Linked DNA regions of Callithrix jacchus. The protein of the gene in region 2 interacts with the protein of the main gene of each other region in a biochemical or structural test. Links are inferred from orthologs where the notes say so. Each region holds a gene or a part of one and is shown on either strand. Other genes may lie near its edges.

Evidence for each region.
Region 1: the proteins of DYRK1A (region 2) and DCAF7 form a complex in vitro, tested with the Homo sapiens proteins (2 studies listed by BioGRID). The link is inferred for Callithrix jacchus from reciprocal best matches to the Homo sapiens genes DYRK1A and DCAF7.

Annotation. Positions count from the first base shown.
Region 1 is NC_133506.1:88,856,294-88,859,813, forward strand, and holds part of DCAF7 (DDB1- and CUL4-associated factor 7), read left to right. Parts: intron 1-1,412; coding exon 1,413-1,571; intron 1,572-2,273; coding exon 2,274-2,385; intron 2,386-2,799; coding exon 2,800-2,918; intron 2,919-3,520. UniProt on the Homo sapiens protein: Involved in craniofacial development. Acts upstream of the EDN1 pathway and is required for formation of the upper jaw equivalent, the palatoquadrate. The activity required for EDN1 pathway function differs between the first and second arches.
Region 2 is NC_133522.1:43,454,645-43,458,164, reverse strand, and holds part of DYRK1A (dual specificity tyrosine-phosphorylation-regulated kinase 1A), read right to left. Parts: intron 2,341-3,520; coding exon 2,054-2,340; intron 1-2,053. UniProt on the Homo sapiens protein: Dual-specificity kinase which possesses both serine/threonine and tyrosine kinase activities. Exhibits a substrate preference for proline at position P+1 and arginine at position P-3.

The DNA of each region.
Region 1 (3,520 bases), on a different chromosome or scaffold from region 2:
GGATCTTTACCAAATACACTCACCATTCCATCTTCCAGTTGGAAGTTCATAAACAAATGTACATAACATGTTACATAACAAATGTACATAAACAAATGTTCATAAACAAATTTCCCTTTGAGCCAGGTTGAGTTTGACAGTAAAGACTAGAAGTTAATGGTGAGCTAAAATTGACTCTAAGAAAAAGTGATCAGAACTAGGTGGGACTTTCTCATCAATGGTGCCTACTTTTTTTCCTGTCACAGTGGTTTGGGCTCTTGAGCGGTCATTCGACATACCTTTATGTGTAAACATAATGAGCCATTGTTGAGTTTGGAGTTGGTGACAGTTATGTACCATTGGATTTTTAAGTGAGCATTAGTTTGTTTAATGAAATTGCATGGGGTATTTCATATTTCTGGCCCCTGAGCACCAAATATCCTCAGCACTTAAGTCATTTCGGCAGCCAAAACCATCCCTATTCATTTTCAAAGACCTCAGGGGTTTCAGGGAAAGGTGTAGTTGGCTTGGCAGATAGTGCACTTACGTAGTTGGAGTCAAGAATGCAGGATTTGAGTCAGAAAACCTGTAATCAAATCTTGTCTCTGTCTCCTACTGGCTTTGTAGTGTTGAGTGTAACCACCCCTTTGAGTCTGGGCCTCCTTGTCTGCCAGGGGATGGTTGGACTAGATGCCCTCTCAAGGCAATCATTTTTGATTCTGCAGTTTAGTATAATAGTGTCAAGACTCATGTCACTGGCTAGGCACGGTGGCTCATGTCTGTAATCCCAGCACTTTGGGAGGCTGAGGTGGGAGGATCACTTGAGCCCAGGAGTTCAAGACCAGCCTGGGCAACATGTGAGACCTTGTCTCTACAAAACATGAACAAAATTAGCTGTGCATGGTGGTGCATGTCTCTAATCCCAGCTACTTCAGAGGCTGAGGTGAAAGGATCACTTGAGTCTGGCAGATGGAGGCGGCATTGAGTTGTGGTCGCACCACTGCACTCCAGCCTGGGCAACAGAGGAAGAACTTGTCTTAAAAAAAAAAAAGACTGGGCCGGGCACGGTGGCTCAAGCCTGTAATCCCAGCACTTTGGGAGGCCGAGGCGGGTGGATCACGAGGTCAAGAGAACGAGACCATCCTGGTCCACATGATGAAACTCCGTCTCTACTAAAAATACAAAAAATTAGCTGGGCATGGTGGCACGTGCCTATAATCCCAGTTACTCAGGAGGCTGAGACAGGAGAATTGCCTGAACCCAGGAGGTGGAGGTTGCGATGAGCCAAGACTGCACCATTGTACTCCAGCCTGGGTAACAAGAGCGAAACTCCGTCTCGGAAAAAAAAAAAAAGACTGTCACTTACCAGGGATTTAATGTATTTGCTATACTGCTCACAAATGCTTATATGTCTCAACTTTGGCATGTTACAGGTTCAGCTTGTTGGTTTAGATGAAGAGAGTTCGGAGTTTATTTGCAGAAACACCTTTGACCACCCATATCCCACCACAAAGCTCATGTGGATCCCTGACACAAAAGGCGTCTATCCAGACCTACTGGCAACAAGCGGCGACTATCTCCGTGTGTGGAGGGTAAGCGGATGCTTTATTAGCAGCCAGACAAGTGGGCTTTCTCAGCCTCAGCTGTTAGCAGTGAGGAGTCACAGAACAGACCAGTGGGAGGCATCGAGTGTCATTGCTGCACGGGAGAAATAAGCGAAGCCTGAGTAGACTGACCTTGTTTGGCTCAGCAGATTTTCTAGTAAATCAAGTCAAGAGTCCATGAAGTCTGGCTGCTGACTGCAGTCAGTTCAGTCAACCCAATGTGACAATGACAGCCTTCGGTGGAGGTGGGAATACTTGGGAACTCATATTCTGTTTGCAGCCAAGATGTTTTTGAGTAAAGTAACAAATACCAGGGCATCGATTCTGATGAAATGTGTGAGTGGATTTTGGAGGATTCCCTCCGCCCTCACCTGAGCTCAGCAGCAGCAGCGTTCTCTGTAGCATGAGTGCGGCCTTAGTCCACGTGTGCAGAGATTCCAGGTTGGGCAAGGTGAGAAGACCTCTCCCCTAGGAAGATGCAGGGATGAAAATGTAGAAAACAAAGCTGGGCAGAGGAGAAAGTATGGGGAAAAGTAGCATTCAGGGAGTCCTGGGTTTGTTACTGTTTTTGATAAAAATGTTTTCCCTCACGTTATATGTTTGTTAGGATATTCTCTAAACAGGGATTTTTAAAAAGACTTTTTATGAGGATAAGACTGGCTAATTAAAAAAAATTTCTTGTTCCTTCAGGTTGGTGAAACAGAGACCAGGCTGGAGTGTTTGCTAAACAATAATAAGAACTCTGATTTCTGTGCTCCCCTGACCTCCTTTGACTGGAATGAGGTGGATCCTTATCTTTTAGGTAAGAGAGTTAGGGAGTAGTATTTCAGCTGGAAGAAGCCAAAATACATTTTCTCAGATGTCACACTGGTCCTTGTATCATCCTACAACAAGGCCAAGTGAGAAGTAGGCTTGGTGTAGAATGTGGTTATGTATTAACTCCTTCCATGTGGGCGAGCTTTACATGTGTGTAGCTCTTGTCTCTCCACTTAGAATCTAAGGTCCTATGGTGAGGATTGAATTCTCCACTTAGAATCTATGATCCTACAGTGAGGATTGAGTATTTGACTCTGTGGCTCTGCAGGTACCCCCCACATTGTATTCTGTAGTCTTTATGGTATGTTGCTTTCTGGGCCTAGCGATGAGTAGACACAGGAGGGAAGCTTGCCTGAGAACCTTGCTCCTCTTAGCCCTGACTCGCACTGGTTGTTTGCAGGTACCTCAAGCATTGATACGACGTGCACCATCTGGGGGCTGGAGACAGGGCAGGTGTTAGGGCGAGTGAATCTTGTGTCTGGCCACGTGAAGACCCAGCTGATCGCCCATGACAAAGAGGTAATGATGCTTTTCCATTTGTCTTTCCTCAAATGCTTCCTGTGCCTTTAGCACAGGAAGAGGTCAGATTGTTTTCTCATTGTTCTGCACTTTATGTAGAAAATCGTAACACAACATCTTCTTATATAAATTGACAATAGTAATGCGTCAAAAACGGGAAGACAACACTATTGTAATTTGGCTAATGTAAATGACTTATTTTTTTGGCTAATGTAAATGACTTATTTTAAGGTCTGTCATGGTTCATGCCAGAGATGCTTTTTTAAAATAATAAAGTCTCTTGTAGAGGAATTGGGAACTGATGTGATTAAAAAAATAACCTTAGGGTATTACTTACCTTGAAACAGATTAGATTTGGGGAGAAAGGAAGGGAGACAGGAAGAGAAAAAATTTTCTGAGAGACAAACCTAATTATCCATTTTTCTCTATAAATGTTTTATGAAGTTCTAGTATGTTCACTTAATCTTTATACTTTTATTACTGTTGGCAATGGAATATATTTTCCTTTGATGGTGATGTTTCTGTGTTCATTGGGAAAACTGAGGAGAGCTATTTGTGATTGCATTTTTTTTTTTTTGAGATGGAGTTTTGCTCTTGTCACC
Region 2 (3,520 bases):
TCTCGCAGATAAATTCCAGAGACAATGCCACATAAAGATTCAAGTAACAGCTGTCTCTGATCAATAGCTTCCTCTCTCTCCACCTCCATCCAAGACTTCTTAGAGAAAGACAATCCTGAAATGGACTATTTTCAATGAAGTAATGCAAGGACGTCTTCAGAGACCAATTTGTTTCACTTATCAAAAGGGAGAAAGAAATAAAATCCTCCTAATGAAATTTCCTAACTTATACCCTAACCATGCAGCCAGAAAGCTCATGAAGTTTTCTGTGGCTCCCACTGAAACCTCCAGCCAAGTCATCAAGAACAATCTCAGGCCTACACAGGCAGGTCAATCAACCTTTAGGAACTGTAAGAAGAAAGTCTAACTTAAAGAACTGGGAAGAGGTACTACACTTCTGAGTTTTTTATAAGCCAATAACCATTGCTATTCCCTAGGCCCAAAGACTCACCACCACTCCTGAGACTTGTATTTCACAGCTTATGCCAAAAACTCTGTCACATCCCTATCTAACTTGTTTAAAGCAGTTAGATTCCAAAACACACTGGCCCTACCACCTTCTGATTCTAATCCAGTAGATCCACAGGTGGGGCCACTGCATGCCTATTTTAGACATAACTTCCCATGTGATTCCAATGAATCTGAATAGTTGAAAATTTATTATAGGGATAACTGGCTCATTTTGACTAGACAGAAATAATAATGTTTAATATTAGGACAAAATATACAATTTGGCTTAAATAGGGGGAAAATGCCCCAACTCTAAAATCTATTCAAATTACTCGCAAGATGGGCATTTTTCATTCACAATATACGCTATCCCATATTAACTACAAGCATCTCTTGATTTTTTGAAGGCATCTAAAACTGCAAACTTTGCTTCCTACTCCAATTTTTAAAAATTACTTCAACAGTCAATAGCATCACCACCATAAGAGAAGCTGCAGAAAGTAACAAAAAGACAGTCCTACTGGCTAAACAGATTAAATTAATGTTACAGTTAAAACTTGGACAAAAGTAGGACAGTACAGAAAATTTCAATAATTTGGAAAAATAAGAAACAGAAAAGTCACTATAAAAAATTAACATCTGTATGTTAGTTGGGTTTTCCTTTAAAACAAAAGAAATATAGTTTCAACACTTTCAAGCAAAAGGAACAGTGTTAAAAATCAGTAAAATATTATCAAATGATGGTAGCAATCCCTTTAAAGAGGAGACACCTGTAACTTCTATTTGATATATGAAACAATACTGTTAGAGTAGTTTTCATACTGCTGTTAAGAATGATAGGAAAAACTGCTTTCCTAAATCAGCTAAACATACTATCATCGCTACGAATACATCTGTTTCTAGCAGTCTAAAAAAAATCACTTTAGATGTGGTAGAATTTATGTAAATTTTTAATAGTGGAGAAAATAAGACAAATTTATTTATCAAAACAAGTCTATCAACTAAATTTTCTGTGCTTTAGTAGCATGACTAATCAAAATTACCTGCATTTTTCTGAACCATCAGTTTTTGAGGAAAAAGATTTATCTTGATAAATCTTTAGAGAAATATTTTACAGCAAGGATTCAATGTTCCAGTACTGAAAAGTCCCAAAACTTACACTAAAACCTTTACTTGGGAAAGTTACAAATCCCCTAATATTTAATCATTCCATGTCCTATTCTCTTCCCTTCATCTTTTAGCATACATATTTTAAATACATAATTATTTTAAATATACCTATTTCAAAAAAAATCAATGTCTTTTGAGTCAAAGTATTGCTATTTGCATTTTAAAAGGTATTTCTCCAAAACAGGTATCAACATAATTAACTGCTACATTTTAAAGATAAATAACCATCCTGTAATTGTCTCTAAATGGTATACACCTCATTAACATTTCAAATATCTATTAGGTAGGAGCAAAAATAATTTCGGTTTTTTCCATTTAAAAAGTAATGCCATTAAAAGTAATGGCACAAACCACAATTACTTTTGCACCAACCTAATACCTACACTGTTCTACTTACTTCTATTTAATTCACAGGTTCTGAAATAATACTTACCCTCTGCCCCAATTGACAAGAACTGCCAAAGTCAACGATCTTGATTGCACTGCGTTTGGGGTTACAAAGAAGGATATTTTCAGGTTTTAGGTCACAGTGAATGATACTAAGTTCTGGAGTCGCAAGGAAAAGCAGTGCAGTGCACATCTGCTGCGCAAACTTTCGTGTTAGATTCAAAGAGACCCCTCGGAAATTGGTGTTTCTCAACAAATCATAGAGGTTGTAGGACAGCATTTCAAAAACTAAACAGAGATGGTTTCGAAACATAAAGTGGCGTTTCAAATGCACTGAAAGAGAAAAGAGTTTCATTTTAAATTATATATACCAATAAAATGAGAGTAACATACACACGGACTCTCAAATGACCTAGAGCATTAGCACAACGTCAAATGCAGAGTCAAACGTTAAAGTCTGGAGATCAGCATTTTGCAGTAATAGCAGTTTTGAATCAGTTAAGAATATCTAAGTTGCTCTTCTGCTGAATTAAACAGATACAGTGTCTGTCAGTAAGTGAGATACAGGGTAAGTACTACCAAAATGCCTTGTTTCTTTAAAAAGTCAGATCTGAAAACACAAGTAGCAAACGAACAAACAGTAGTAAGACTATTTCAGCAATTTTATCTTCATTTATAAAAGAAAGTACTTTTTCCTTCCTGAGAGTCCTACCTCACAGCTTCCTATGTCTAAACTCCACCTACTCAGATCTCTGATTTGTGACAATGCTGTACTTGGCAGCCCTCTGTGTAGGCTTTGAAATTTATCTGTGCTGCAGAACTTTAGATTTCACTAGTAATTTTGTCACAATTTTTGATGATAGCTTTTTTGTTACCCTTTAGGTAAATACAACAAATGTTTGAAAATCATGCTTTAGTAAAAGTATTGGAGTGCTTAACTGTGTTCATCAAATTGGTAAATGAGAACTCTTGGGTGAGACTGAAGGTTTGAAAAACTTCAAAATAAATCTCAACAACAAGAAGAGATGATAAGAAGGCTTGTGAGTGGTGAAACAGCATAGAATACATAGATCGCTATCACTGTTGACCTCTAAAAAGGCTGAATACTCACTAAATTGCTTCAAACATTGTGCTTTAAGTATTGACACTGACTTCACATCAGATGAGGTTATTCGATAAAGTGCTGTCCCTGACTGTTAACAGTCTTACATATACCAAACTGAGCACCTGTTACACAACTGCAATGACATAAACACCCATCCTGTCAAGGTTACTTTCATTTTGTCTTTTAGTATTACAAAATGAGAGGTTTCGCTACAGATCTATCTAGAATAAACTGAAAGTAATCAATGTGTGATCACTAACTGTGGATACATTGTGTTTTCCTGGTAGTACTCCTGGGCTTTCTGTCTCAAAGCAGTGAACATCAGTACCGTTTTTAGATCTTTAATGATATAGGTGATCTCAAGTTAGAGTTAATTAACACAATAAAAATAATCACATAGTTATATAA